Diceros bicornis minor: one gene and its partners. The protein of the gene in region 2 purifies or fractionates together with the protein of the main gene of each other region. This does not show direct contact. Links are inferred from orthologs where the notes say so. Each region holds a gene or a part of one and is shown on either strand. Other genes may lie near its edges.

Region 1 (7,754 bases), on a different chromosome or scaffold from region 2:
ACGTTTCCAAAAAAAATAATTAAATCATTAGGACAGCAGCTACACTCAACATAGCAATCTGTTCCACTTCTCAACACAGACATTTACAGAAATAGCTATACAATGAAACAAATTCTATCATTTTTCAAATGAGATATATGTAATAATAACATGGACAATCTTGATTACCAAAGAAGAGTTAAGTAAAATGACATACCAGAAACAGAATTTTCAACAGATAGCAGATCCAGGTCTTTTAAAAGTGGAACACCTTCCTTCATTTTTCCACAAAATGAGGCTTACTCTAGAAGACAAAGATTTCTTTCAGTTTTGAGTATGCTATAGCCCACACACTCAGAACACAGACTGGTTTATAATTCCTTTAAAAAAAAAACTGCTTCACTTCTCAACACTTTTACTGATGAGATCTATGTCAAGTACTTTACCATGGGTAAAAAGAAATCATGAAAATGTTTATAGTGTTCTGTGATTAAAAATTCAGATATGGGAACCATATGAACGGTAAACAAATCCATAGGGATGTTCTAATTTTGAGATTTCTAAAATATCACGTCAGGAAACTAATTATAAAGCCTCATTTGAACCCTCGACCAAATAAGCAAAACATTCTGCTTTCAAAATAGCCTTCTACTGGGGCCAGCCCGGTGGCATAGTGGTTAAGTTCGTGTACTCCGCTTTGGCAGCATAGGGTTTGCAGGTTTGGATCCCGGGCGTGGACTTACACACCGCCTATCAAGCCATGCTGTGGCAGCCATCCCACATATGAAGTAGAGGAAGACGGGCACGGATGTTTGCCCAGGGCCAATCTTCCTCAGCAAAAAGAGGAGGACTGGGAACAGATGTTAGCTCAGAGGTACTCTTCCTCACCAAAAAAAAAAAAAAAAAAAGCCTTTCATCACAGAAACATTACTAAAAATTTGACACTTTTGATTTTGTAGAAAACATTATTCTATTAGTTTGGGGTCACTGAAATAGGTTACAAAAAACAATTCTACCATAATTTTCTTCCATTTATATCTAGGAGATGGTCTAGTGACTGTTCAGTTAATACTGATTTACAGTCTCCTTCCATTAAAATATCATAAACACCTTAAAAGAATTGAGGAAAAAAAATCTTGCATAACTATTCTTATGGGTTCTCTAAATGCACATTATATTAGCAATTACAAATTAAAAAAGTTTTCAAGGTTAAGAGCATCTGTGGAACATCGTAAATTCTCAGAAGAGAATTACTGTTAAAGAAAACTTAAGTTAGCTTATTTCACATATTTTGTATACAAAAGCACCTACAGATTCATAAGAAATACTGACAGAACACCCATCATGTATCAGGCAGGGACACACAACAGTGATTAAAACCTCAGCTGCTGCCCCTGGGAGTAGGGTCTCAAGCTGGGGAAGAGCCAAACAACTGCAGAGTAAGTGTGATGAGAGAGGCATGCAGAGGGTCTTGTGAGGGTAAAAAGGCACCAAGAGAACGCACTTAAGGATGGAAAACTTTAAGGAAAGTTACAGGGAAACATACAATAGTTAAACTCAAGTAACTCTACCATAAAAACAATTTGTTTTTAGTTTCCTCTCAATGTCACTTCTGTGTAGCAAAAGGTTTCACTGTATAAATGCCTAACTATTCTAGAATGAAAAATTAGTTTTAAAAAATCACTCCAAAGGTCCCAGAAAAATTTCCAAATTTATTTTACTATATGTGTGACTAAAAAGCTGTGATAATTCCACTTGAATAAACAGAGACCCAGAAGAAAGATAAAGCTAAAATAAAATAAAGCTAAAGAAAAAATAGAAAACAGGGGTGGGGTGGGGTGATAAAAGAAAAAAGAACAAAAAATGTAAGTGTGGTAAGAGCAAAAGCTTTCTGATGGACACCTGTGCAAGGATCAAAAACCTTAAATGTACAATCCCTTTGGCCTTTTATTTCCACTTCTGGGAATTTATTCAAAAGAAATAATCAGGGATGTGAAGGAAGATCTAGATGCCTAGAAATTTTAGCCACAGATGTCAGTTCTTAGGCAAAATCCTTTGTACAACATGCAGGATATTTAGACATGTTGTTGCTATTACAGAAAAATTAAGACAACAGGTTATATAAATTATGGTACACCTATCCTACAGAACGTTACACACCTATGAAAAACGCTTGAAGGACAAAATATTTCCCATGTTCCCAGTGTTCTCCACAAAGTAAAAAACATGAGTGACAAAATGAGCACGACTAGAATGACCTTTATTTTGTAAAACAAAACCAACAAAAAAGAGAAACTCCTCTGCATAATATGTAAGTATTAGTAATTTCCAAATGTCCACTGACATGCATTATCTGGATCAGATAATACCAATTTAAGTTGGGCAGTGGAATTATAGGTGATTACCCCCTGGAAAGTTCAGCAGCATTATACTGTTTTATAATTTCCTTAAGAAAAAAAAAAATCGCTTCACTTGCAAACTCTTACTGAAATATCTTTTCTATACACCAACTTTTTAAAGATTTTATTTATTTATTTTCTCCCCAAAGCCCCAGTAGATAGTTCTATGTCATAGCTGCACATTCTTCTAGCTGCTGTATGTGGGACGCGGCCTCAGCATGGCCGGAGAAGCAGAGTGTCGGTGTGCGCCCGGGATCCGAACCCGGGCCACCAGCAGCGGAGCACGCGCACTTAACCGCTAAGCCACGGGGCCGGCCCTACACCAACTTTTTAAATATGGAGGAAAAAAATCACAAAAATGTTCATTTTATGCCGTAATAAAAATACTAAGTACTTAAAAAGTCAGAAATGGGACCTTCATGAATGGGTAAGCCAATTCATAAGTATGTCCTAATTTTGTGATTTCATTCTAAAACATCACATCAGGAAGCTAATTATACACACTCAAGTGAACCCTTGACGAAAAAAAACACCTTTCAACTATCATTCTTCCATTCTGCTATTTATGGCTCTACTTTACTGGTCCACAAAAAACTTTTCCAGACAGTTTTCCCAATTCTAAAGATTTTTACAGATATTAGAACTCACCTCAGTAATACGTGGGGATATTTGTCACGGAGAGGTCCTGTTTTCTTCAAACCAACTGCCAAAAACAAAAACCCCATAAATTATTAAATCACTCATCCATTTTCCAGCCTGGAGCCCCACCAACAGAGCAACAGGGTTCAAACAGAGGTATTACAAGGATAATTTTAAGCAGCTATCAAGATCAATGTGATCAGGTCACTCAACAGAAATACCAACATACGGTTCACTTTCTTAATAAGTAATTTTGAGAAACATCACTGTGATTAATGAAAAACTCATTCGGCTTTAATTAAGATGTTCTTATTGAGTAAATTTAGTCAATGTGGATTATCCACAATATTTTACGTTTTCTTAATTATTTCATTCTTTAAAACAACTCGCCAGTTAATGCCCCTGTTCCACCATTTCCAACGTGTTTTTGTTGTATTTAACAGAACACAAGACTTGACTAACAGCACACCACCAATGGCCGCCCAGAGCCAAGTCCTCCCGGGCGGTCCTTTTATCTGGAGTGTTTGCGCACAGTCTGAGGTCAGGGCAGCAGCGCGCGGGCCTCGGGCCGGGCACCCAGGGCGCTCCGCCGCTTCTCTGACCCCGCCGCGCGAGCGGCACGCGGACACGCCCCCACGCAGGGCGACCGACTCAGAACCCGGCCTCCCCGTCCGCGGGAAGGAGGCGCCACAGCCCGAGGCCCTCGGCCGGAGAACCGGACAGGCTCCCAAGCCCGCTTCCGAAGGGCGGAGGAACTGCTCGGAGAGGAGCACAATCCAAGACATCTCTCACTCCCTCGACAGGAGCCCAAAGCATGGGCCCGGAGAGAGACGTGCGCGTCCCTCCACCTCCTTCCCTCTGGCGGCGGGAGCGGAGGCCTCGCCCCCTTCAGCCCGGCCCCCATCCCCGCCCCGCCGCCCCGAGAAGCCTCTGCCCATGGCTGCCGCGCGGCCCCTCCACTTCCGGTGCCGGCGCCGCCAGAGCTGCGCCATCCCCCAGTCCCTCGGACAACCAGAGCTTCCAACTGACCTTCTGAAAGGTCCGCGGCTCCTCCGACCTTCCCCAGGTGCTGTCCTGCAGGGAACGCTGAATGGGTGCCGCGCTAAGATGAAGCTACGGGACGAAGACGCCGCTCTCATCTTGCCAGAAACATAAAATGCGCTAGAGCTGCGGCCACCGCTGCCCAGACAAAATGGCGCCGAGAAGCCAGTTTAGCGCAGGCGCCTTGGAGAGATCCTGCCCCGCCCCCGTGCAAGTTCTGGCCGCAGCTCCGGGTTCGGTTTCCATGGGACACTTCACCGCCAATCCTCGTGCCGAACTGCTCTTCCTGACCCCTCCACGTACCAATCAGTGCTCAGTCAAGCACATCCGGAGTCGTCTCTACCAATCATCTCTCAGGACTTGCTTACTCAATACCAGAGTCTCCAGTAACGTTAGCCTTCGAACACAGCCAATCATAAGTGGAAGATGTCCTACCTGCTGTTTTTCGCACCAATCCGGGAAGTTTCAGAGCTACATCCAATGAGGACGGCAGGTAGCGAGCTCCAATCCGAAGCTGTTCGGCGTCATGAGCAGCCAATGGGAGTTCGTGTAGAAGCGAGTCTGCTCAACAGCTTGTTATTTGGTGGATTGTGGCAGTAAATCGGGCGAGTGGGGAACCGGGCGCAGGAACTGCCGCCGCGGCCGGGAGTGGTGCTGCCCAGACGGGGGCCCACGGGGGTCAGTGAAGCGGAGAAGTCGGGAGCTGACAGCGCGCACTTCGCCCGCAGTTGGTAGGTGGGGAGAAGGGAGGCGGGGGACCCTGAATGGACAAGGCGGTAGTAGCAGCTGGTGCTGCTGCCCGGGGTCCCGGCGCGGTTGGAGGCTCTGGAGGCGAGGAGGGAGTGCGAGGCCAGGGGCGCGGCGAGCGCAGGGGAAGGGGCAAGTCGTGGGGCAGCGGCAGCAACTGCAGGAGCCGCCACCGCAGCCGCCGCCTCGGCCGCTTGCTTCCCGGGTTCCCCGGGAAAATGGCTGTGGGGCTGGCCGCGCCGCTAAGTTTGCTTCCGCGCGGGGAGGAGCGGGCAGCCTGCAGGAGCCGGCCCCCAACTCCGCGGCGCGTCCTCGGCTGCAGAGTCCGCGGCAGGACCCCGGAGGCTGGGGGCTCGTTCCGCTACGGGCTGTACAAAAAGTTGAGGCGGGCGCGGGAGGAGGCGGCGGCTGCCGCTGTGCGGCTCCCCTCCCCTCCCCTCCCACACCCTGTCCGGCCGCCTCCCCTCCTCCTCCCCGCCCCCCGCCCCGCGGGGCTCCCCTCGCGCCCCCGCCGCCCGCCGCAGGCCGCGGCCCCTGCCCCCGGGGAAACGCGCTTCTCCTTCCTGACACGGTGCAGCGCGGAGGAGGGAGAGCAATGGCGCCGTGACACTGCTGCCGCCACCGCGGGCCTGGGGCGGGCCGAGGGGCCGAGCGCGGAGGCGGGGCGCGGGCCAGGTCGGGGGAGCCCCGGCGCGCCCGGCCCCCTTCCAGAGCCCTCTGTCCTGGGCTCTGAGTGGAGCGTTCGGGTCCGAGCGGCGAGCGGGCGGGGGCGCGGGGGCCGCTGGCGAGCTCCGGGCCGGCGCGGCAGCCCTCTGGCGCCCGCGGGGCGCCCGCTGTCCCCGCGGCTCCTGCGTCCTGGCCGCCCTCCGAGGGATCGGAGCCCTCCGCTCGGGAGGCTTCTGCCCCTCCCCGCCGGCGTTTGTTTACTTTCTTTCCCCGGTCGCTCCCCTCTGTTGACTGATTCTGTGCCTGTCTCTCCCCTCCCCGTGGTTCTAGCGACGGAGAAGAAAGCTCGCTGAGCTGGAACCCCACAGATCACCCGTAAAAATGAAGGTAAGTGGAGTCGTCGCCGCTCTGAGCCTCGTGCCCTGGACACTGCCTGTCGTGAGGCTGGTGCTGTGGAATGTCATTTTTTTTTTTTTTGCGACTCAAAATTGATTCCTCTGCTAAGCAGCGCTTTCTGAAAATGAGGACGCGTTGAATGGGTGAGAAATGATCATGGTGTCTAAAGGCTGTCAGTTCGGCCCCTCTCTAAGCAGTTAGCACTTGGGAAAGGCGAGTGCAGCCTTTCCATTGTTGTCCATTGGGCTAGTATTTTTAAACACTTCCTGTGTTGGCAGCAACCTTTGCAGAAGTAAAGCTTTTGTCCTGCTTTGGTTCTTTGGGGGATTTTTTGAATTTTTTTTTTCTTTCTCAGTGCCAGTGCGATTTTCTAAGGAAGGAATATGTGGATTGTGTAAGGGAGATATAATTTCTTTTGGGGATAAAATGAAATTATGTGGCTAAAATACTTGAAGTTAAACTAAAACTAAGTATTAATACTTAGTTTTTGTTAACTTGTTATGGTAGATATTTTTAGACATATGCAACTTAAAAAAATACATATTCTTGTGAAGACAGCTAATATTGCAAAGATCCTGTGAGATGGTTGAAGGAAAAGGAAAGTACAGCATTCTGTAGTGCTGTGGCATTGAATGTTTCAGGTCAGTCAAAGGGATTTTTCAATTTGCATTATTTGTAAATGCACTGACTTTAAAAGGTAGTTAATTCCTTACTAATTAGTAAATTTCAATGTATTAAGCTCTGAAATATAGCATTTTCCCAAACTTTCTCTTGTTCTCCTATCTCCCTGAAGTGACACATGTAACCTTCTTTAATGTTACTTAGGAAACCTTAGTGGAAAATGAAAAATCATTTTCTACTTTCTAAAGTGTACACTGTTGCCTTTGCATTTAGCAGTGTGAAATCAAGCTTATTTGAATACACTTAACTTTTGAAAAAAATGGGTAAAACAACAGACTGAGATAGCAATCATTCTGTTACTGTCAAGATTAAAATGAGTGGTAGGACAAAATTTCTCCTATCTTTTAATGTATCATTCTGATCATGGCCGTTTGCTAAAACGGATGTTTTAGATGTTTAGATGTTTCTTAGTAAAGCTTATTTTTTAAAATATATACCAAGAAGATTAATGTAATAATCTGGGTATAGCTACAAGTCTTGAGCCGTCAGTTCATATCTCTGTATTTATCCGCTGAATTTAGACTTAAACCTTTAAAATACAGCTTTTAGCCAATGATTTTTCCAAATAATGCTCTCCTTTTCAAAAGGATTGGCTTCATTTCTTATCTGTACTGTTATACTGTATCCAAAAAGATGTTGCCTTTATGTAGCTATATTAATAAACATTTAATTATGTATTGTTAGTGTTAATTTTAATAGCAATATTTCTTTTAATTCCAAAAGAAAATTTTTGAGAAGCCATAATTAAATAACTTAAAGTTTTATGAGAACTTAATATGAATATAACTTTTTCTGTTTTTTCTTATCTTTTCATTTCTTAAATAAATTGTAGAATTATTGAAACATTTTGTATCTGGATGAAAAAACATATTTCCCTACTGATATCTTCCAGTTACAACTTAAAATGTTTTATGTTATCAGGGTATAGTTTATTAAATAAAGCATTGTTAATAAAGTGTTTGCTTTAGGGATATTTTTCAAATTATCAATGATATTACTAAGCAGATAATATTAAGGTTCTTATTACTTTAAATACCCAACCTTTTAATTAGACTTGAGGTTGGAGTAGGGAAAATAGTAGTGACATTCACATTTTATGTTCCTTTCATCAGGCGGCGGATGAGCCTGCCTACCTGACAGTGGGAACTGATGTCAGTGCCAAGTACCGAGGTGCCTTCTGTGAGGCAAAAATTAAGACTGTGAAAA
Region 2 (7,525 bases):
TAAAGCCGAGAAATAGCCCCAAGAGTTGCGAGCTCGCAGCTCCGGGTAGCTGCACACTCCTAACACCGACACTCCCTAAACCTGAATATGCAGTCCTAAGAAGGCGGAGATAACCAAAATGAAGGCAGAGCCTAACAGCCACCGCCTTGGCAAACCTCCTGAAGGCGGAGCGTGAGGCTTAAGGCACTCCCGATCTCCAGGGTAGATTTGGAGGCATCCTCAGACTCGAAAAATTGAGGAAGGAGACCAAACAGGCCACAGCATAAAGGAACCTTCACCCCACACTTCAGAGAAAGGATAAAAGGTCCAGAGTTACAGACAAAAGATAATAAGAACGGCTGGTCACTTCCTCCTTGGCCAACGAGTGTTAATGGCAGTACCTAGGCCCTCTCTGTGTAGGTAATAGTGCCTCGAACACAAGAGACAAAGTGCTTGCAACACCTAGGTTGCTTTTATTTATTCACCAAATAGGGCAAAGAACTGACTCTGGCCTTGCTTTGGGGGGCGCTCACAGAGCGCCAGGAGAGGAGGGGGCGGGGCCAGAGTTTTCCCGCTCTCTCTAGCAAAAAGGCTACTCCCCCAAGAGAGGCTAGAGTCAGTCCCCAAGTGGCAGGCCCCCCGCAACCGACTCCTAGCTCCTGTCTTGTCCTCCTTCCACAACCCAGCGGAGACGGCAAGAATCGAGCGCTGGCAACAGGTGGGCCTGACTCCAAGGATGGCTTCCAGCCGCAAGGAAAAGGCAGCGAACTGTGAACTCCATGAGTAGCTGACAGATGGGAGCAGTCTCGCCGGGAGCCAAGCCCTGCCCCAGAACGGAGCTCTAAAAATAAGTCACACAGACCGAAGCGACCCCTCGGCCAAACCTGTAGGAAGTTACGAAGAAGCGGCACTTACGCAGAAATGACCTAGGGCTACCTTTAACTTGGGCTGTCCCCCGCTCCCTGGACTGGGTGCCACACGGTGCTCCTACCTGGACATCAAGAACCACTTCGAACTCAAGTAGGATTGGGCCGCCCCGACTTCTCGGTCAACAGGGGATGAGCTACCCCGGATCTTGCCTAAGGCATCCAGGCCAATCCTAGGTTGCTCAGAGTTTTAGATAAAGCCAAGTAAGGACTGCGGCTGCCTTGCGCTGGGAAGAAAACACACTGTCAGCGTCGGCAGCGTTCTCAAGCTTAAGCTCAGGGTGGTCTCCTGGAAGTCGAGAGGCGCAGGAATAGTCCGAACTTTAGTACTTGGCCCGGAAGGACAGATCGCACCTCCTCCTCCCAACCTCTGCAGAACCCCCGGAGCTAAGCCCCCCAAATCCACTCCACACCGTCACCCTTACACTTCATCACAAAGACTACCAGGTCGCGAGCTTGGAGGAATCATTGTGTGCCTTCTCGGTTCTCCCTTCCCCCCTCCCCCCGCCAAGGGCTCCGAACCGGGGACTTCCGGGCGGGAGGACAGTTCGAAGGAGCAAGGCGGGCCTCACACATGTGCGGAGCGCGCACACAAGCGAGGGGAGGGGGCGGGGAACAGGGCTGGACTTCCCTCTCCAAGCTCGCTCCGCCGGAGCAGGCGGGACTATCCATCTCACCAACCAGAAGTGGGGGCGGGACCTTGCGCCACACGTAGGCCGCAAGAATCCTCCTCCGCCCTTCACTGAAAAAAATCCTAGCAACTTAAACTCCAGCCCGGTCTCCGATAGGCGGAGCTCGGGAGAATGTCACCCAATCGATAAGCGAGAAGGAAAAAAGGGAGTCTCGTCCAGCCAGTGGAAGACAAGAGAAGGCGGGCTCTCTGGAGGAGCCCGAGGTGGGTGGAAGAGACAAGACAAGGCCCCGCCCCTCGGCCCCGCTCGGGGCTGGTTGCACAAGCCGCCGCCGGAGTCGATAGTAAATAGGCTAGGCCAAGGAATGGAAGCTGGGGCAACCCGGCGCTCTGTGGGCCGGGGCCCCTGCGCCTCCTCTCCCGGCGCGCCCCGCCCAACCCCGGCGGTTCACGCCGGCGCCCCGCCTCCCAGCCCGCGGCCGCCATCCCGGCTGACAGGCGCGCCCCCCCGCGCCCCTCCCCGCCCGCTGATGCATTTCCTTTTCCCGATTCTGAGCGTGAAGACTGTTTTCCCAGTTTCCGACCTTCACTGCCCCTTTCAGGCAACCCCTCGTGGGCGCGCACACACGCCCGCGCCCCCGTCCCCGCCCCATCCGCGGGCGAGCGGCACGACCGGGGGGTGCGGCGGGGACCCGCCGCCGCCGCCGCCTTAGGGTGGGCGGGGAAGGAGGGAGCTCCATGTTTGCAAGGGGATCAGCTGGGGCCGCGGGTCGAAGCCGCCGAGTTCCTGGAGGTTTTTCCACATCCCCGGGCCGAGTTCCGCGCGGGTTCGCGGCCTGGTGGGTTCCGGGACCGAATGCTGGCTCTACTGCCACGGCTCGGGAGTTTGAAGAGCCCAGACCGGCGCGCGGGGCGAGTGCCGAGGCGCGGGGGGCTCTTTCCGGTGTCCTCCCCCACCCCCAGCAGCACCTCCCGCGAGTCCAGCGTTGCCCCCGCCCCCAGAGTCCATAACAACCGCGGGCCCACCGCCCCCTCCGACAAGTTTGCGGACAGAAACAAAACCCTCGCGGCGACTGCCGCCCTCGCCCAGCGTGGTTAGCGGGGAAAGCCGCGGGCCTCGGCTCGCTAGCTAACTCCAGCTCTCGACCAACTCCGGGCGCCGCGGGCTCAGGCCGCCGCCCCCTGCCGAGCCCGCGCGCCGCAGCCCGGGCCCAGTTCCAGTCGGTGTACGGAATCTCTCCTTTTTTCTTCTTTACAATAATTTTTTTTTAGGCATTCCAGGAGCGGGGAGGATCTCCTCCTGCCCGCCCCTTACCCAGTCCGCCGCCGAAACCTACCGAAACTGACTGCTCGGTGAAATAAACTAGGCAGCACTGCCAGCGCACTGGCGACCCCGGGCCGGGCCGACCCCCTCCCCACGGATCGGGCCCGGCTTGGAAACACACACTGCCGGGCGGGCGGCGCCAAGAGCTCTCTTTCCTGGCCTGCCCCTCGCCTCCCTCGGCTGCCGGACTCCGAGCCTCCCCTAGCTCCGAACCGGGGCCTTCGGCGCCCGCACCGTGGCGGACTGGCCAAAACGACCGGCCGGCGAACTAGCCCCCCAAACGCCCGAGATTGGGGAGACCAAATGAAAAGCAGCTGTTTAACATACCTTCCGAGGCAGGCGAGGAGTCCTGAATGGGGGGGAACGCCCCCCATGGGCCATTGGCTCCCCGGCGCTCGCGTCAGTCACCCTGGGCCCGCCTCCTCCCCTCGCTCCACCTCTTCCCCTTCATTGAACGCCCCCTACCTCCAAAAATATATAAATAAATAAATAAAACTAGCCGCGAGTGGGAGGCCCATCCATGGCAGAGGCTTCTGTCTCTCCGGCACCGCCGCCTCGAGTTTCTTGAGACCCTTGGGAGATCCGCAGGGTGTACCCAGAGGAGGAGCTAGCGGGGCTACTCGGCCACCACTTCCTTCACATACACACCCCATTTGGAGCCGGGCAGAGGGAGGCGGGTACGGACACCCTAGCGACCGGCTGGAATGTCCCGATTCCCCTGGCTGTGTAACCGAACCGTTTCTGGCCCATTCTGTTAAGGCGCCTGCCTAAAAATGAGCAGCGTAAGCGGGAAGTCCTGCGTTCAGGGCAACAGGCACTTGTCTGAGCATCTAATGTGGGTGAGGCAGACACATTCATACCGCACCTGCTGCTGGGTACGATTACAGAGACTGGATGAAATGCTCTGTACCCTCCAAGGGCTCCACACCTAGCTGAGGGTATGCTACAGAAAGAGCTAAGGCAAGGCAGGAATGTATATATAAATACACATCCATAGAAGCTCAGAGAAGGGAGATTCTTTCTAGCTGAGGAAAACTGGGAGTCTTCATGGAAGAGGCAGCACTCAAGTTGGGTCTTCAAGATTTCATCAGGCAGAAATGGAGGGGCAAGTCATTTTCAGCAAAGGGCACAAAGGGGTAAATGCAAAACATTGTTAAGGACCTTCAAGTGTGGCTGTAGTAATGAAAATCAGGGTTGGAAGGATGGAACAAAACGGCAGAAGACTTTAATAACTGGTTAAAATTCTTAGACTTGCACAACACAACGTGCAAGCAGCATGGTCACAGGACCACAAGCCCAGAACTATGGTTTAAGATACTCAATATCCCAGCAGCTGGATGGGCTCTGAGAGTAGGTTGAGTGAGGAGTCACTACAGGAAGCAAGGTGAGGCACAAAGGTTGTTGTAATACTTGGTTTGGAAACCTCAGAGGTACACCTTCTGGTAGGAGGGGTAGGTGGGGGGGACCCGAGAGAAGGCTTCTTTTCTCTTTCCCAGCCACCCAACCCAGAAAGCCTTCCCTACCTTCAGCAGCCCTCAAGTCAAAGATCTGCCTCAGATTGTTCCCAGAATCATTTGCAGTGTTTGTCATAACTTTCAACCAAAAAGAGTTTCTGGGAGGCAAAGGCTACTCCACATGTCTGCGCTCAACAGAGCTGAGCCTGGGGCCAGGGCACACAATGAGTGAGCAAGCAAGACCTGTTGATTGAGGCATCCGGGAAAGGAAGTTAGTGTGGATCAGGTGGGATATGCAGAATGTGAAGGGTCTTAAGAGTCCTGTGGGCAGAATGGGGGCCTGTGCCAGTTAATCAGTCCCAACAATTCAGGTGAGATGTCATGAGGACTTGACCAGGGCAGTGGCAATGGGTAAGCAAGAATAAAAAAGGAGAGGTGTTTAAGAAAGACTCAAGGGGACTGGGTGACTGATTCAGTGTGAGTAATGGAGGGAAAGGAGTCAGTGGCCTGGTATGTGAAGAGGCAGAAGAGTGTGAGGCTGGTGGTTGGGTGATCTGGGTTCTAGACATAGCATGGCCAGTGACTGGTATATCCTTAGGCAAGTCCCTTCCTCCCTCTGGGGCTGTTCCCCCCCACCTCACCCCCGGCTGGAAATTGGAGTACAAAGACAGGCTCTAAGGACCCTTCCTTCTCTCACTCAAGAGTCCCTGGGGGTGAGGGGTCTGATGAGGAGGGAAGCTTGCCTCTAAGGAGAGGGCAGACTGGAAGAAATACTGATTTGCAAGGGCAGCAGATCATCCCAGGTGGAGTGGGGACTAGAATTTGGGCAGTAGCTTGGTTGATGGAATCACTGAGGGGAAGGGTGTAGAGGGGGAAAGGCCAGGAGATGAGGACTGTGTATTCAGTGGGAGGCCCAACACCTGACAGGGCCATAGAGGTTGAGGTTCATTCTCAGACTGGGGGCTCCCTAGAGTGAGGACCAAGTTTTTCTACATCAGATCAGAGATCCCTCGATGTCTGGAGCCCCATCTCAGATTCCTGCTCTATTTCCCAAGAGGTTCTGCCCTAGATGAAGGCATAACACATGCTGTGAACGTGAGATGAGGCAGAGTGGTAGACCAGAAAGAATATTAGTCTGTAAGCTGAGTCCCACCTAATCTCTTTTCTGTGGATCAGCCTCCTGTCTTGTACAAGAGGATAACATAGCAATCTTTGCCCTGTTATGAAGATCAAATGTGATAAAATGTGCTTTAATATACCTAGTTAGGTTCTGAGCTTCTGTGGAGGCCAAAGGCCCAAGCATTTGAGTGTAAGCCTGGACAGCGGTATACTGTGGATGAAGTTCCTTTAAGGAGCATTTGCAACTAGAATAGTTACTCCCACTCAGAGACCCAGACTTTTTTGACACTTCCTACCCTCCTGAGTGCACCACGCTGGTGGAAATCCCCTCCTGAACACCCCCTAGACTGAGCTCCTAGAGCATAGCCACTCTATCTAATTTCACCTCTGAGCCCCCAGTGCCCACAGCAGTCAGGCATAAGAGGCCCCTTGGAAGGGGTCCAGTGATTGTTTCTGACTCAGTACATTGATGCCTGCATAGCACAGCCAGTCCCAGACTCTTTGGGAAAGTGAGTATTTGATTTGGCAGCATTGGCCCTCCAGCTGCACTGAAGGTTGCATCCACCCGACCTCTTCCCTACTGTCTATCAGTGAGGACGGAACAGTGAACGGATCTGGGTGAGAGCTTCCTTGGAAAAGTCACATTGGGAAGCCAAGTTCTGATTCCCAGGAGGCCTCTTTTGTGTGAGTTAGGGATTATTATCCTGTTTGTAGTTGAGCAAACTGAGGCTCAGAGCAGTACAATGACTTGCCCAAGTCAAGCAGCCATGGCAATTCTGGGCCCAAAGCCTGAGCTTTGTCTATGCCCCCATGTGCTATCTATCTCTATACACACTAGGGTACCATGGTCCAGGTTGGGGCTTCTGGATAAAAACAGCCTCCCCTCCTGCTCCACCCTCCCTACTTCCCTAACTCCAAGAGCAGTTTGTCCCCAAATAGTTCTAAATGATTTCTGGCCCTTTCCAAAAAAAATTATCCTCAAAGACGCAAGATTTGTCTCCCAACCACATATATACATGCCTCCTCAACTCACAACACATATACAGTACTCAAAACTCTCACACCTTCTGACACGCTCTCTCACAGGCATCACACACACATATACCCCCTCATTCACAAAAAGGACTCATTCATAGTTCTTGAGGGTGCTTATGGGTTGTGATTGACATTTAGGGCCTGCCTTTCAGTGACTCTGCCAAAAAGATGTCAGCGTCAGTGCTAGTGCCCTGCTGACAGAACCTCTGCCAGCTATAGAAGACCATTGTCAGCTTGGGAATATCCAGATGAGGGGCATCTGAGACTTGCTCCCACCCCCAACCCAAAGTACCCTACGGCTTCAAGGGGAAAACTCAAGCTATTGTTCAGAATCCCAGTTTAGTTGCTTCCTAGCTGGACGTCTTTGGCAAGTCACTTATCTTTCCAATTTCCTTATCCGTAAACTAAGAATAAGAATACCTACGTGATGGGGCAAGCCCCGTGGCATAGCGGTTAACTGCGCGTGCTCCACTGCTGGTGGCCCGGGGTTTGGATCCGGGGCGCGCACTGATACATCGCTCGTCAAGCCATGCTGTGGCGGCATCCCATATAAAGTGGAGGAAGATGGGCACAGATGTTAGCCCAGGGTCAGTCTTCCTCAGCAAAAAAAAAAAAAAAAAAAGAATACCTACATGAGTGTGGTAAAAATAAACTATGCCTAGCATTTAGTCAAGACTTCTCAGAACTTTTTCTCCTTTATCTTGTTGCTATACCCTTGTCTCCTGGCCATTCAGATGTGAAGTTTCCGGTGCTGCAGTCTAAGAGCCCAGGACAGGCCTAAAGGACCCAATGATCCCACTGTGTGAAGAAACTATTTCTCTGACAACCAGCTGGCTTAGGTTGTACATATTCTGTATTTCTGATTTCTGGGCGGCTTTGGAGGCTTGGAATTTTTTAGTGGGTTTTAAGACTGCTACTCACTGCCTTGAAATGTCTTCCCCTCACTGAGCATTAATTTACCCCTCTGGGTCACTTCCAGTCCAAATCTAGAAAACAGATATAACAATATGTTCTCCAATTTACCTGGCTCTATGTTTTCAAAGTGCTTCCTTTTGTA
Region 3 (8,154 bases), on a different chromosome or scaffold from region 2:
GATGCACCAAGAGGTTCCACCCCTCCCCCTCAAACTAGGGCAGCTATTGCCTCCAATATTTTTTCTTTGGTGGTAAAATCTCCCTGTGAAGGGCACAGCTCTTAAATTCATTGAATTTTGGTAAGTGTTTTCCCCTGTGTGATCTCCACCCCAATTAAGACGTGTGCCATCTCCATTAACTCAGGAAGTTCTCTGGTGCTGGGGTTCCCAGTCAATCCTCTGCCTGCCCCCTACCCTCAGAGAGAAGCAGGCTTCTGATGTCTGCCCCCATAGATTCTTTAGGCTGGGTCCTGAATTCCACATGAACAGAGTCGTACGGTATATACTTCTTTGTATCAGACTTCTTTTATGACGTTTTTGACGTCCATGCACCTCTATCAGTAGTTCATTCTTTTTTATTTCTGAGTAATATTCCTTTGTATGAATATGCCACAATTGGGATTTATTTCCCTGCTGATTGTACCCAAAACTTTAATTGTAACATAGTCAAATATATCAATATTTCCCCTTACAATTGTTGATGGTATTTGGATATTCCATAACTCTATGGAAGGTCCACTAACAGTTTTTTCTTAGTACTTTTATGGCTTTTATGTTTTTAACACATCTTTCCTCCATCTGACGCAGTAGGAATCCAACTTTATTCTTTTCCCTCCAAATGATTAGCAGGTGCCCTCCCACATGGTTTTCTCACTGATTTGAAAAGCTACCTTGATTGTACGTTAAATCCTTACAGGGGTGATGTTCAAAATAGTTACCAATTGGTATGGTGCAGGCACTGACCAGCCTGTAAGGATGCCCACCCAGAGCAGCTGGGACAGACGAGTCACATACTGGCTGGATATCGGCAGGAGTTCTTGTGTTTGCTGGGGGCTGTTTCTTTACTTTCTGTTATTTTCCATCGCTCTGGGCCAGTCCACGTTGTTTTCATTCTGGAGCCCAGATATGTTTTGTTTTCTCTCTCATCACTCTTGTTTCTGACTGTTCTCAAATGTTTATTCTTCCAGATGAACTATTCCACCATTTTGTCAATTCCCATGAAGTTCCATCAGAATTTAACGTTACATTTAGGTATTTAAAATGTTCTTTTGCTAATGTGATGGGGAATTTTCCATCGAGTTTTTCTAATGCATATAAAGTGTTTAGCACAATGCCTGTCCCATAGCGAGTGCTCAATAATGTAAGCATTTATAAGTACTGAATATTGTTAGCATGTCTGAAAGTTCTTGTTTTTTCTATATATTTACTTTATAATTGGCCACCTTGCTGAAGTTCTAATTCTAGGGTTGTTTTTTTTTTTAATTTGAGTCTTTGGGGCTGTCTTTATTTCTGATCAAAGGATTTGTTTTCTTCTGTTAACAATGGGATTCGTTTTCTTTCTAAAGCAAAGCGTTGCAGACTCTTCTATAAAATGCCCTTGTATGAGCCCCATCTGGACGTTCCCTGGTGTTTGGGCTGTGCCTGACCATGCCGCTCATGCTCAGCTCCAGCGTTAGAGACCTTCCTTCCACCGTGCAGAACTCTATTGTACTGAGCTCTTCCGACAGGCTGTGGACAGATCTCCTTCAGCCAGACAGCCCCTTCAGAGACCTAAAGACACACACAGCCACACACACTTTCAAGTCCTTCTTCTCCAAAAAAAGGAAAGTGTGATTCTTCTGCATGCTGGCCCGACAGTTACCAGGTGCCTCGCTTCCTGAAGCGCTCTCAGGACTGCAGGTGAGGCCTAACTGCCACACAGCGATGGGACCATTCATTCTTCTGAATGCAATTCTACCTTTTAGTGAATCCCACCGAGGATATCCCAGAACTCTTTCATGTCACTTTTTCTTCACTTGTAAAATTAATTTTACTAGACCTATATGCAGCATTTTCCCTGCATTTCTCTTGATTATTGAACACTTTAAATAACCCTGTTCCTTAATTTTTATCATTTAAATGTGACTCAGTCACTGATCCTGTTTCACCTTATACGAAAATTGATGAGGGTACCACTTCCATCATCAGCCAGGTCACTAGTGGTAATTTTCTTCAGCTGTGTCTTTTGTTTTAAAATTCTGCAATTCACTATTCATTTGCTTCAAAGTTAAGCTTAGGACAGGCATTTCTACCCACAACGCCTACGGTTTTCTTTTTTGTCACTGCCGTTGAGTCAATTCTGACTCCTAGCGACTCTCTGGACAGCCAAGCTCAACTCTGCCCCGTCTTTCTGAGCCAGGCTCTTACTTTCCAGAGCTCTATCAGACAATGCTCCACTGCTATTCATAGCGTTCTCATGGCCAATTTTTTTCAGAAATGGGTAGCTAGGTCGTTCTTCCTAGTCTGTCTTAGTCTGGAAGCTCCACTGAAACCTGCCCACCAAGTGTGAGCCTGCTGATAGTTGAAATACCGGTGGCATAGCTTTCAGCATCACAGCAACATGCAGCCACTACAGTATGACAACCGACAGACAGGTGGTGTGGTTCCACGATTGGGAAACAAACCCAGACGGAGGGAGGGAGAGCACCAGATCTTAACCACTAGACCACCACAAAGTTTTCTAATCATTACTTATTTTTTCAAGATATTTAACATATTACAAAACTGTGCATTTTCATTTTGAAAATTGTATTTTTATCCACATAGCTACATTTTTTCCTCCAAAAGTCACTGATCAAGAACGACAGTACAACTAATCTCTGCTCATTTCTAGAAGGAAAGGCCCTCAAAGTAAGCAATCACACACATCTGCCAACATCCCACAGCCTGACTTTATCACCGATACTCCCGCAGGCTTCAGCTCTGTTTGCCTCTGGGATTATTCTAAGATTGATAAGTAAACTGAGCTACTTTCTGATTTTCTTTTAAGTTTTGGAGAGTTGAAAGAAAAAAATTCAAAAATTCCACATTACAAAACAAATAAAAGGACATAAAACCACAAAGGAGCGATTTTCATTAAAACAGAAATACTGTTTCTTTTCCCCCTGGAAAAAGCATCTGGGCCATAACACTAAGTTAACAAGCGATGAAGATTTATCAGCGTCTTTTTTCCTTGATGTGAGAATGAGTATTGAGGGTGTCAGTGAGGGAGGGTGTCTCCCTCCTTTAATCCAGCAGGTAATTTCAGATAACCTTGTCACCTCTGGCAATTTCTCCATCGATTTTTCTTCTTCTTTCATGACCAAGTTCTCAAGATAGGTAATACTCCTGTTCCCTCTGACATCCCTGTATATCTTCGTATGTAGTTCAGTGTAATTCTGTCTCCTGGTTCTTGTTACCAAAGCCTGAGAAATAAGGACATTTTGGTATTTGAGGAAAAAAACAATCCCTTGGATGCAGTTCTTAAATGATCTACCTGATTCTGCTTTCTAGAAAAGATGCTGCTTTAGTTAAGCACCAACATATTTAACAGACTTTGGTTATTAAGATCTCAAGCTTTCTGAGCAGTGTTCACCATTTTTGGTTGTGAAACATGCTGAGAGGTTTCAAAGTATCCTGCATGATATAAGGTTTCATGGAAGCAAATTAATTGTAGATCTCTTTTAATTTAAACTATAGATTCCATATAGCACTTTATGAAAGGAAGTGTTTTATCAACAAAACAACGATGAAACGCTGCAATTTGAATACCATTGTTTTAGTCTTTCCTTCCATCGAGACTGGATCCGCCAAGAACTGCCAACAGGTGTATTCCCATGCAGGTCTGAGCACGCAGGACAGGCTATCATCAGCAGCATTTAGTTTCTGGAGGGCACCCGTGGGAATCACGAACCCTGTGGCTCCCATGCACGGGCACACTTTGTCTCACTTGGTGAACACACGGGATTCTGAAAAACACTATGGGCACGGAGGCTGAAAAGTTGTCACTCTTCTGCGGGACACATGGGGTCCTTTAGCGCGGCGCAGACCACCCCACCGGCAGCCTCAAAAGGCTGGGCACTCGGGCCAGCAAGGACCTCGGAGCACCAAGGACCCAGGTGAAATCACAGGGCGAGCCCATCACCTCCTCCGCCCAACCCTGGATTCGCAGCCCCGGCAGCCACGGCGGCCTCGCCTCAGGCGGCCCAGGACCATTCCCATCAGCGCAGGCGCGCTGGTTCCGTCCCACGCCCCCTCGCCCCGGAGGCCGCGTTCCCGCCGCGGGGCAGGGCGGGGCCCAAGAGCCTGCGCACTCGTCCTCCGCACGGCCCCTGCGTCTCCGGGCGCACGCAGCATCACGTGACCGCTGCCAGTACCCAAGATGGAGGCCGCAGCCAGGCCTGACCGGCTTCCCGCTTCAGCCCGCGCCGCGGCGTGCGCCCGCCAGGCACGCGGTCCTGAGCCCTAGGGTGGTGGGGGGCAGCTCTTCGAGGGCGGTCGAGGGGCACTTGCCAGGGCCAAAGGCCGTATTTACAATCACTACTCGCTCGAGCTCCCCGTGCTTTCTCAACCGCGAAGCGCCCAGTGGCTGGCGCCTTGAGCGTCGTTTAGTACCCCCGCCCTGGGGATTGGCAGCTTCGGCAGCCAATGGGGCCCAAGACATGTGCGGGTAGGCGGGCGGGGGTGGAGCATCCTTGCCGTCCGTAGAGCGTCCGGTCTGGCGGTTGGCCGCCGCGGGACGAGGGGCGGGAGCAGACGGGGCTGTACCTGGTGTCCCAGAAGACCAATGGGAGGACGGCCGGGCGCCCGGGGAGGGCGGGCGGCGGGCGGGGCCGAGCCGTAATTGACGACTTCTTCATTAGAAACCAGGCAGGAGGGAGGGGCTCGCGAGGGGAGGTGATGCAAGGCCACCGCAGCCAATGGCTGCAGCGCCGCTGGAGGGAGGGCGGGGCCGGCGCGGCTGACGGGCGTCGCGGGTGGCCTATCAGCGCCCGGCTCGGTGGTGGCGGGGGGGAGCAGCATCATGGTTCAACGTGGGTCAATTTTTTGTGAATGAGGAGGGGAGGTTGTGGGGCCGCCGCCGCGGAGCACCGTCCCCGCCGCCGCCCGCGCCCGAGCCCGCGCGCCCGCCCGCCGCCCGCCCGCCCGCGCCGCCGCCTCAGCCGCCTGGGCCCGGCGCGCCGCGGCCGCGTCCCCGCTGTCGCCGCCGCCCGAGCGCCCGCCGCCCGCCCGCCGCCGGGGTGGTGGTGGTGGCGGCGCAGGCTGAGGAGATGCGGCTCGGAGCGCCCGCGCGGGGCTAGAGCGCCCGCCGCCGCCGCCGCCCGCCGCCGCGGTAAGCGCAGCCCCGGCCCGGCCGCGGGCCATTGTCCGCCCCCCTCCGCCCGCCGCAGGCCGCCGCTCCACGCCCCCCGCCCGCAGCCGCCCGGCCCCGGCAGGTGGACGCCCGGCTCCGCGCCCCCGGCCCGGCCCGTGCGCCCAGGCCGCGCGCGCCCAGCGCTGGGGCTCTCCGGAGCGGGAGCCGAGCCCGCCTGGACCTCCCCTGCAGCCCAGACAGAACGAGGGCCGCCGCCAGGCGGGGGGCGCACGCCGCCCCGCGCCCGCCGTCCAGGCCGAGCCCTCGGCAGGTGGGCCGGGGGCCCCGGAGCCCGCCGCGCCGTTTATGTAACTTTGTCACGCCTGTGAGTTTGCAGAAAAACGTCCCTCCCGGGCCCGCGGCGTGGGGTGCGCCGTCCGCCGGCGGGTGCGCCCCCGGCCCGTCGCGGGAGGGGTGGGGTCTGTCCACGACCCGGAGGGGGTCCCCGCAGGATCTCCACGGGCCGAGACGTGGCTCCGTCCTGCCCGGAGGATGGGAGCGGCGTTTCCCGGCATTGCAAACACACACCACGGCATTATAAGCAAATTATCTCGTATTTACATTGAACGTTGAATTATTTGACACTGTTATAGCAGGAGACTGTGCGTATCAGTCGGAAAGGCCGGGGGTGGAACCCAGTGTACTCATTTAATGCACATCAAAAATTTGTAATAACTTGCAGCCGCTGATATGAGTGTTTTCTTTATTGCATGTTGTAAATTGACCTGCTGTGACACAATTTTCAAATAAAGCGTGGCAGAAATTAAACTTAAGTTATTTTAAAACTAATGACTTTCTTAACTAAATCCTAATTGCATTACTGTAGAGACCTATGTAATTGCTTGCTGAGAGCAGCTCTGCCTGCCCTCAGTGGGGGAGGACCGGGCCTGTTACTTTGCTTCCCCGCGTTACTCCGGCTTTTTTGTTTATTCCCACAAACCATCTAAGCATGGAAGGCCTGGGAGTAAACATGTAAACAGCCCTCGCCCAGCGCCTGCCCAGCAGGATTGAGGGAATACTGGTGGGTTTGCTCCTTGGCCTGGTTTCACTTTTTCTTTTGTAATACGATCATGGTTGCCTGGAGTTTTAATTGCTTCTGATAATTCGGTGCATTATTTGAGAGACCGTCCTGTGAAAGCTGGTGTGGTGGCTTCAGAATCTAGCCACGAGAGGTGGTGGTGGTGATTGGGGAGAGCGAGAGAGATTGAATTAAGAAAACTCAGCTGCTTGTACACAAATATACTCTACAGCAATTACAAAGCAACAAAAGTTATTGCAGAATTTTGCAGTAACTATGGCAACACAATTACTCTATTATAATTGGGAATGCAAAATGCCACCCTGTTAGAAGTTTCATCAGGATGGAATTTTGGATATCAAAAAGATGTGAGATTTAATTTTTTTTCAGGTAGCTCCTGAGAATTCTACAATCTGTGTTCCATTATCTATTTTTAATTCTGATCAAGCTTTCCCAGATATTCCACTCCCTGGGATCTGTGGCATCTTTCCCCAGAACTCACATTTGTGTGGGAGGGAAGTATTTTCCTGCCTTAAAAACACACACCCTGACACATTGTAAGACTTCTCTAGCTTTCTGTCTTCTGGACTTTTATTTTAAAGATCAAATACCTTCCTAAAGAGAGCAGTAATCAATCAGAAAAGAAGCAGGATTTTTGCGGCAGGCAGATGTAACACTGCCCTCTTTAGGGTTAGTTCTTTCTCCTGCAAGGGGAGCTGGCAGCATGAGTGCCCCTGGGGGAGCCCTGGGGCCGGGGTGGGGGCTGGGGGATGGATGACTGTGGTCTGCACGGAGGCCTGGAAGGCCTAGGGACCAAGGACAGATGTGGCCTAAGCAGCCCTGAGCCAAGAGAGAATGTTCTGTGGTCAGCAGCTTCGCAGCCATGCAAAATAAAAATCTCCAAATGTTGTGCTCTCAGAGGCCTTGGGGGCTGTAACTGTAGCAAGATGGACAGAACAACATGGCACCGTGGCCATGTGCAGCTGGAGCGGCAGATCTTGACTTTCAGTAGTCAGAAACCTGCTTTATACGGATGGCCCTCTTGATGTTTACCAGGAGGACTCGAGTTCTGGAAGTTTCCACACATCGTGGGGTTGCTGCAGTTTAATTTCATTATAACTCTTTCTTTTTAACTACTGCATATTTATGCCCAGTAATCGACTTCCATTTTCCAGCTTCATTGTGAGGTTTCAATGCTGCATGAATGGCTTTGAATTCTCATCCTTTGATGTTGGGGGTGGCACCAGAGGAAAGGGACTTTGTGCCGTCTTAACTGCTGGAGCAGAAGAAACATGTCATGACTCCTGTAGAATTCGTCCATACCATTCGTTCTCTATTGAAAACGGCTGGGCTTTCATGGCTCAGAAGCTGCTATGAGTAATAGATTAATACCTGATGTAGGGAGTGAGGGAGAGGCAGCGAATGAGAGGGGATACATGCCTGTCCAGCCTCCGTGGAAGCTTCGGATTTTGCCCTCGTTCTGCAGCCTGAGAAGCTGGGCCTGAGCTCCTGCTGTTCCAGCCGGAGGGCGAGTCCCTCCCCGTTGGTTGCAGCCCCCTCCTTGGGCCTGGGGTGGAGGGCAGGGGTCGAGTTTGGAGGGGGTTTTGTTTCAGTCTCAGATGGTCAGCATATGCTGTGGTGTGCAGTGGGCTCAGGGCTCTTGGCTTTGACCTTAGAGGAAGGTACAGCATCTTCTGGTTGGAGTCAATCTGCATTTTAACAGACCTTAGCAACCTATGCTTACAGGGCGTTTCTTTTGGGGAAAAAATGTAACTGAACCAAGATCAATGAGTTCTCTTCATAAGGTCCCTTTTCTTCTTTTGGGCTTATGTGAGTGAGGAGAAGGGGTGGGTGGGGCCTGTTTAGGGTACAAGGTGGGCTGTGGCATCTGCAGCTGTTCTTGGCCTCTCCGCTGCCTTTTCTGATGCGCCTCCTACTCGCTTCC
Region 4 (8,104 bases), on a different chromosome or scaffold from region 2:
CCTGAATGCGAATCTTGAGGCTCCGCTGCAGCCCCCCCAGGGGCTCCGTGTACTCGGGCGCTCTCTCGGCCCCCACTTCCTCCAGCCGCACCCGCAGCTGACTCAGTCGCTCCCTGAACAACCTGGAGGTAAGACGGCCACGCACCCATGTGCTCCTCCATCACGCATGTGCCGGGTGCCCTCATTCCCTCGGGGCCTCAGCCGCCCCTGCCCAGCACCAGGCCCGCCACCTCCTCACCCCAGGTGCCTGAAGACCCAGCCCTGGGTGTCCCACGCTCACTTCTCCTTCAGCTCCGAGAACTGCTTCTCCAGGTCCAGCATCTCGTTGACACACTCGCTGCGGCGCCGCTCGTAGTCCTCGTCGTCCATCTCTGGGACAAGAGGCCAGTCAGCGCCAGCTGAGCAGGAGCGGCGGGCACGCGTGTGTGCGTGTGGGGCTCACCTGAGCTCTCCTCCTCTGACTCGGTCTGGCTGCCACTCCGTTCCTCCTCACTCTCTTCCTCTTCCCCATTCATCTCGGCGGCTGAGTCGCCCTCTGCTTCCATCTCCTCTGTGTCTTTGCTTGGAGGCTGGACGGGCATCTGGGCTCTGCGAGGAGTGGAGCCATCACTCACAGCCCGCAGCTCCGAGCAGGAAAGCGGCCACGTGGGGAGTCAAACCAAGCCTGACCACAGACAGGGACAGCTGGGGAAGTGACTGGACGCACCACACCCTGAGCACATGATGGGTGGGGAGGCTGCAAGCGGCCCTGTCTGCACATCTTCCAGAAGTGTGGGAGCCACAGAAACGCCCAGGCCCTTGGCCACTGTTAGTGATCCCAGTCCTGGGAATACTGGCCAAGGTGATGCTTCATAAGATGGAAAAGGCCAAGGGGGGCTCCCCACTGCCTTTGGGACTGGGGCTTTCAAAGCCCTGCAAAGACTAGACTTGGACTACTGGTCCAGCTCCTCACCCCACCATCTAATGGCCAGTTCTCACATACACCATGCACTTCCTCCCCCCTTCTCGTGCTCCACACCCTCCACTTCCCTTCCTGAGAACACTCGACAATCTTCCTGTCTTCTCACTGGGCTCTGGGTCAAATCCCATCTCCTTCTGCTTCCTGTGGGATCTCATGTCATTTCTTCCGTATCTTCAATTCTCCCTCTCGCCAGCTCCTTCCTATGACACTGTGGACACGCTCAGGGATTGTCCACCATTTAGAAAAAGCAGCAACACAAAACCTCACCCCATTCCACTGAACTGCTCCCCGCTGTCTGCCTCTCATCTACACTTTCAAGGCCTTGTGCACCCTTGCTAGTCCTACTCTTTCACCTCTAGCTTGTTCCAGTCCATTTCAGTACCATCGCTTGGCTGAAACTACTCCTGTAGAGTTAACCAAGGACCTCTTTGTACCTAGTGCCATTTTTCAGTGCTTATCTTAGTTGACTTTGCAGCAACACTAAACACTGCTAAGCAGTCTTTCTTTTATTCACTCATCTACTATTTTTTTTTTTTTTTGTGAGGAAGATCAGCCCTGAGCTAACATCCATGCTAATCCTCCTCTTTTTGCTGAGGAAGACCAGCCCTGAGCTAACATCTATTGCCAATCCTCCTCCTTTTTTTCCCCCAAAGCTCCAGTAGATAGTTGTATGTTGTAGTTACACATCCTTCTAGTTGCTGTATGTGGGACGTGGCCTCAGCATGGTCGGAGAAGCAGCGCGTCGGTGCGCACCCAGGATCCGAACCTGGGCCGCCAGTAGCAGAGCGCGCACACTTAACTGCTAAGCCACGGGGCCGGCCCTCACTCATCTACTATTTACTAAAAAATCTAATATATGTTAGGTACCATCAGACACTATGGTAGTACTGGGCACAATTGTGACAGACAGACAGACAGTCTCTGACCTCAAGGAGTTTACAAGTTCCTGGGAGAGAGAGGCAAAGAAACAGACCATTATTGTGGTGTGAGAAGAGCTGAGACTGGAGGCAGATGGGAGAGGCATCTAACAGAAACCTGGAGCTTGCCGCAGCAGTGAGGGCTTGCAGAGGAAGGTGTGCCAGACCGAGGAGCTGAGCTGGTTGAGGGAAGGAACATTCCAAGTACAGTGAGTAGCATATAATGAGAGAAGGAGCAGAGCTGGGGTCACGTGGATCTAAGCCTCAGAGAGAAATCTGGGCTCAGAAATCTGGTCATCAGCATCTAGCGAGTTTTTCAGGTCTTGAGGGAGGGTGAAATCAGCAAGGCAGAATGTGTGGAGCGAGAAGAGGCCCATGATGGAACTCCCAGGGTCACCAAACAGACAGATGATGCAACCTCTACAAAGGAGAAGGAAATTAGCAAGAGGTGGAGGAAGAGAAACTCAAAGTTATGGGGAGAGAGAATTTCAGAAGGATGGAGCAGTGACAGGGCCAAATGTTACCAAGAGATCACCTGAGAGGAAGACTCAACAGTCCTCTCAACAGATAATCTCCGCTTGCTGGGGGCTTCTATTTCACTGTGATGTTTTCCCAAACTCTCTGGGCCCTGCTTTGTAGTCCTTTAGATCACTGTAGACAACACTCCCTCCAGGAAGCTTTATCTGCTTACATCACCTCTCTATTTGTCCATTCTCATGCCTGTCTCCCCAGCCATTCTGTAAGCCTCACCAGGGCAGGGCTGCACATGCGCCGTATTCACCTAACACAGTACTGACTCACTTGGTAACTGGTGGATTTGCAAATACAAATTAAACAAAACAAACTTTTGCGGGGCAGGGATTGGCTTTTACTTCTTGGTAGCGTCAGGCCCCTGTAGTGGTAGCAAACCCAATATTCTGTTAACTTTCCCGGAGGCCAATTCGAGTTGTGTAAATAACTAGCCTAGAGGGCAGCTTAGTCACATTCCTCAATGATTTCACAAACGATCTGAACCTGACCTGAAAACCTGGGTTCACCAAACCAGCCTTATCTTTCCCGTTCTCAAGCCTCAGTTCTTGCAGTTCCCAAATTTCGCAATCCCTCTTAACCGTTAAATATATTTACTCTGTAAGACGCGACTTAAGTCCTACCTTTCGGGACCAGAAAGGGCGGCGGAGGGAGGGAGTCTCTCCAGCTGTCGCTGATTCTACTCAGTGAACTAAAGTAAATCACACACACACACACACACCTCGGGTGCAAAAAAAGGACAAGCACTGCTACTCTAAGTGTTGTAAAGATCGCAAAGGGTAAGAGATGGAAAAGCAAACTGTAAGGCGCCGTGCACATGCAATTTATCTTTTCAGAAAGTAACCATTTCGAGGGCAGGCCTCCATGTAAGGCAGATTCTTCCCCACCTTCGAAGAGGCCAACAGCCCCTCCGCGGGGCGCCGAAGCCTCCCGCCACTGGCTCTTCCGCAGCCAGCTGCGGCTCCCCAAGCATCCAGCCGGTTAAGTCTCCCCTTCGGCCCTGGAGATTGGGCCGGCTCCGAACCGACTGACCGAAGAGGCGAAACCAGGGACCAGGGGTGGCGATACGCACCGCGGAGAGTGGGTCCTCTGGCTTCACGTCCGCGACTCCCAAAGAGGACCCCGAAACTACGGGTATTGGCCGCCGGACTCCCGGAAGCGCTGCGCCGGCGCTCTTCTCCGGGAGGCGGGGCTTGTCTGCGCTTCCGTATGCATCATCAGGAGGCGCCCGTCGGAGAGCTCATAATTGGACAGCTCGGGGCAAGGCATGCTGGGATACTGCGGGCCGGTCTCCATAGCAACCGGCCGAAATGCACAGAGGTCTTCAGCCGGCGGGAAAGGCCCTTGTGGTTTCCTTGCTTTGCAGCCGTCGCCCCTTGGTCCGCGGCCATCTCCCACCCCCGGCGTGAAAGGGGCGAACCCGGGACCTCCCCGCCCGCCCGGTACAGGAGAGTAATGGAGCCAGCTGTAGATGTGAACACTCATTTATTTACACATTGTCACTGGCAGGCAAATAACTCAGCCCAGCCTATTCGAGGGTTAGAGATCGCGGACTACCACACACACAACCTGCAGACCCTTCCCTTCTCCAGAGTCCCCGAGGACGGAAGGCTGGGAGAACCAGGAAGTTTAGGCTACTGCCCAAAACCTAAGAACTAAATTCAACGCCTTCCTCTGATTTCTTTCCAAAAAGTCCATGTTGTTAAGTACTCAGACTTCTAGCTCTGTCCCATGCATACTTTTTGCTCTCCTACTACCCACCCACCCAAGACTGTTAATAATAATAATACTGTAATAATATTAATAATACTTTACATTTGTACGAAGCTTACAGAATGTTTTCACATATAGCATCTCATCTGAGCCTCCCAACAGTTCTGTGAGGTAGATATTCTCACCTCCCTTTTTACAGACGGGGTAACTGAGGCTCAGAGAGGGAACAGGATTTGCTCAAGGCCACACAGCTAGTTAGTGGTAAAGCTAGGATTTGATCCCAGCACCCCATATTCAAGTCCAGTGTTCTAACACCACAGCTACCACTGCAAAGTGGAGTGAAATTTCTCACCCCTGTCAGGCCTGAGGGGTGGCCTAAGGAGGGAGGAGGCTGACTTCTCAGACTAGGAGAGGGAAGGGCTCAGCAGTGACGTGGGGAGTCAGGGTACTTCGCCTTTAACTCCTGTTTGAACTGGCGGTAAAGGATCTTATTGTGCTGATTTTCGGCTTCCTTTTGGGGATGGAACTTCAAGGCTTCTTTGAAGCCCTTATGAACCAGGAAACCTTCGTTCAGCACCTCGAAATCAAATCCTGCCACGTGCAGCTCACAGGCCTGTGGGGGGAGAGACAGGTCAGCAAGTTTGTTGACATTCCTTCAGCTGAGGCTAACATCCCTAAAGCAGCACACCAGCATCCCCACTACTCTGGAGGCATCCTGGATCTTCCACACCATCCAACCACGTCCTGAACTATGATCCCTCCTGCCTCGTTGCCTCCTTTCCATTCAGGGCCACTCATAGCTCCCTGAACCCACCACCCTTCCTGCCCCATTTCCCCTCTGAGCACCTGGCTGATGCGATTGAAGCCGTACTGCCGAAAGCGCTCGTCGAAGGTGGGCACCTTGCCTCCAGCCACGTAGAATGGCTCCCAGGGGTCCTGCCAGGGCACTACGTAGGCAGGCCTCAGCAAGGTCTCTTCTGGCAGGTTGACCCAGCGGGAGTAGTTGGTGGGCGCCTGGCAGGGCGTGCACAGCCCGTAATAGAAGGGCCGCACCTCGCCCACCTGGTAGAGCTGCAGCAGCTCATTCTTGTTCGTGGGCATGCGGCGGGCTCGGCGGATCTCGAAGGCAGGCACCACCAGCGCTGTGCCCGCCCACTGCTTGCTCTGATCCAGCATTTCCCGCAGGCCTCTCCACAGCCCCTCGCTGGGCACCATGTCCACATCGATTACCAGGGCATAGTTGGCCCCCTCACGAGCCAGATTCCTCAGCAGGTTATTGGGGTAGGAGACATTGGTGCCCAACGCATAATTGATCCCGGGCTGGGCCACCCTGGCTAGCTTGTCAAAGACTTCCTGGCAGGACCGCAACAGGGCAAACTCCCCCGGCTCCCTGGGGTCGGGCACCGCGGCCTCATAGCGCGAGGGGCACACGAGGTGCATGGCGACCCTGGCGCGCATGTCGGGGCAGTGGCTGCTCAGCGCATAGGTCAGCACCGTGGCCAGCTGCGCCTCCTCTTTGGTGGCCGCGAACACCGACACGGATAGCGGGCCCTCCCAGCGCTCCAACAGGCCGGACAGGTGCAGCAGGTTGTCCACGCTGGCGTGCGTGGCCAGGATCACATCGTTGGGGTCCATGGTGGTCTTCAGTAGGCCCCTGTAGACGCGGTAGTCGCCGCTGGCGTCCAGGACGCCTCCGGAGGCCAGCGCGGTGCGGAGCTGCGCCTTGACCTGGTCCACGGACCGCGGGGATGGGGGGAAGAACTCGAAATACTGGTCTTGCTCCTCCTGCCCGTGTAGCCCGGACAGCAGCGACAGGTAGAGCAGCTGCAGCATCGCCACCAACATTAGCGCGGCCAGCAGCAGCTGGTAGAAGGCGCACCGAATGGCGTAGGACATCTGCATGGCTCTCGGGGCGCAGGGCGCGCAGCAGGGACCACCGGGCCGCAGGCTCCGCCGGCAGCCGCAAGCCCGGATTTACCGCAGCCTACCGAGCGCGGCCGAAGCGAGCCGAGGCGAGCCGAGCCCCGCGCGCAGCCCCGCCCGCCCGCGCCGGCCTCCAGGCGCGCCAGCTCGCCCCCTGCACGCGAGGAGGAGCCACTGCACTCGCCGCCCGCGCCGCGCGCTTTGCAAACTCTGAAACTCCCCGCGGCCGCGCCGCCGCGCCTGCCAGCTTCCCAGAGACACATAGCCCCTCTCTCCCGATCACTGCGCGACCCCCTGAACCAAGCGCGTCCTGAAACCCCGGCGAGCTCGCCCCCGGCTCAGGGAGGGGAAACCTTGCCAGAGCTCGGCTGCGGCTTGGAGAATGATGGCGCGGGTTCCCGGCTGCGGCGGGTGGAAGGGAACACAAAAAGCCGTTTTCTTTCTGCCGTCTCCCCCTTCTAGGTCCTACGAAGTCCGCTCTGAGGAATGGATGCAGGGGGTCCCGGAAGGTGCGGAGGAGATGAGAGATAAGGGAATGTGGAAAGGGGTGCTGGACGTGGGACGAGGTGGCCGAGTGGTTAAGGCGATGGACTGCTAATCCATTGTGCTTTGCACGCGTGGGTTCGAATCCCATCCTCGTCGGTCGTGTTTTACGCGGGAGACCATTCTTAATTTTCCACATGCCGCTTCTCTGGAGCAGCAGGTTAAAGAGCACGGAATTGAGGATGGGACGCAGTTCGGCGCAGCCCGGGCCTCTCTCCCCTTTGTTCGTCGTACATCTCTGGCCACTTCGTACTTCAGGTGTCTGAACCTTCTGGGCGAAGGTCGGAAGTGTGCTTTTCTTTCTCCAGAAGAGGGCCAAGGGTTGGGTGGCACCTAGAAGACCACAACCAAAATTCTGGCCAATGCCTAATTGGGGGCCAATATATTAACTGCAGGAATTAGAAACGCCCCCTGAAGGTGCTGCCCTCCCTATCTGAAGTAGTGGAACTTGGGGGGAGGGGTGTTTGATCGTTTAAATTATTTCTCTGTTCAGCCCACTGATTCCCCTCCCCGCAGCCCTTCTCCCAGGGCGGAGACCTTGTATCCACGCACCTCCCTCCCCAACACACGCACTTAAGCAGAAGGCCTTGAATATTCTCACACCAGCCAGCGTACACAGAAGGCGCTTAATAAGTGTGGAATAAACGATCTAAGGACTCTTTAGAAGAGCAGAGGCTGTGGGGAAAGGCAGGTTCTTTGACTGCTAAATCAATTACTATATGTAATACATAATTTTTTGAGCCCTGTGAATCTTGGAAAGGTGCTTTGGGACAGACTGAGGAGGGCTCGCATGCCAGGGTAAGGGGTTTGACCGCTATTCCACAGGCAGTAGGGAGCCAGGGTTGTTGAGTTGAGAAGTGACCAGGAGACCTATATTCTGCAGCCCTGAATAATAATACCTGCTCTGCAGCAGAGGCTGTGTTAGGCACCGGGCGTGGGGCCTTGCAGGGGACAAGGGTACTGTCCTTGAAGGTTTTCACTGGTGACTTGTGCCAGGAGAGAGGAGAAAGGTATGTGTGGATCCCATCATAAGGATCAGGGAGGCTCAGAAGCAGATTTGGTGCCACAGGGGTTTTCTTTGACCTGCTTAGTGTTTAGAAATAACAATTTGAATCACGTCAGTTGTTAACTTTGGGGAATCAGGAGATTTCACATATAATTCACATTTCCAACTTCTGTTTTAAATTCTGGAAGATCTGGCAATGCCAGGCTTGCATTCCCACAGGGTGACAATTGGCCAGAGCATAAAAGTGTTTCTCCCTTTGCAAACAGTCCTCCCTTTGCCAAAGTCTCAACCCTGCGCCTTCCTGTCGGGGCTTTAAACATTTGTGTTTCATCTGCAGTGCTCACACAGTACCCATTTACTACCTCCATTGAAGATTTCCCTGGGCGTCTGCCCACATTGCCCCCCCTGGCCACTGCAATGCAAGCCACACAGCAGGCATCAAGACGTGTTTGTTGAATGAGTAAATAAGAAGCTTCTGAAGTGTCCCCAGGGGCCCTAGTCTAAGGGGAGACT

The links.
Region 1: the proteins of SIN3A (region 2) and ARID4A purify together in Homo sapiens (affinity purification with western blotting; 6 studies listed by BioGRID and IntAct, with this or other methods). This does not show direct contact. The link is inferred for Diceros bicornis minor from reciprocal best matches to the Homo sapiens genes SIN3A and ARID4A.
Region 3: the proteins of SIN3A (region 2) and HDAC4 purify together in Homo sapiens (affinity purification with western blotting; 3 studies listed by BioGRID and IntAct, with this or other methods). This does not show direct contact. The link is inferred for Diceros bicornis minor from reciprocal best matches to the Homo sapiens genes SIN3A and HDAC4.
Region 4: the proteins of SIN3A (region 2) and BRMS1 purify together in Homo sapiens (affinity purification with western blotting; 4 studies listed by BioGRID and IntAct, with this or other methods). This does not show direct contact. The link is inferred for Diceros bicornis minor from reciprocal best matches to the Homo sapiens genes SIN3A and BRMS1.

Annotation. Positions count from the first base shown.
Region 1 is NC_080763.1:8,175,747-8,183,500, forward strand, and holds the start of ARID4A (AT-rich interactive domain-containing protein 4A), read left to right. Parts: upstream 1-4,233; 5' UTR 4,234-4,789; intron 4,790-5,801; 5' UTR 5,802-5,852; coding exon 5,853-5,858; intron 5,859-7,660; coding exon 7,661-7,754.
Region 2 is NC_080744.1:68,207,144-68,214,668, forward strand, and holds the start of SIN3A (paired amphipathic helix protein Sin3a), read right to left. Parts: upstream 3,110-7,525; 5' UTR 2,874-3,109; intron 1-2,873. UniProt on the Homo sapiens protein: Acts as a transcriptional repressor. Corepressor for REST. Interacts with MXI1 to repress MYC responsive genes and antagonize MYC oncogenic activities. Also interacts with MXD1-MAX heterodimers to repress transcription by tethering SIN3A to DNA.
Region 3 is NC_080776.1:26,625,607-26,633,760, reverse strand, and holds the start of HDAC4 (histone deacetylase 4), read left to right. Parts: upstream 1-4,885; 5' UTR 4,886-5,170; intron 5,171-8,154. UniProt on the Homo sapiens protein: Responsible for the deacetylation of lysine residues on the N-terminal part of the core histones (H2A, H2B, H3 and H4).
Region 4 is NC_080770.1:7,002,505-7,010,608, reverse strand, and holds the start of BRMS1 (breast cancer metastasis-suppressor 1), read right to left. Parts: upstream 3,548-8,104; 5' UTR 3,479-3,547; intron 3,460-3,478; exon of another isoform or gene 3,439-3,459; intron 589-3,438; 5' UTR 582-588; coding exon 443-581; intron 372-442; coding exon 281-371; intron 123-280; coding exon 1-122. Other genes in the region: B4GAT1 (beta-1,4-glucuronyltransferase 1), read right to left, coding at 4,541-4,732, 4,966-6,021. UniProt on the Homo sapiens protein: Transcriptional repressor. Down-regulates transcription activation by NF-kappa-B by promoting the deacetylation of RELA at 'Lys-310'. Promotes HDAC1 binding to promoter regions.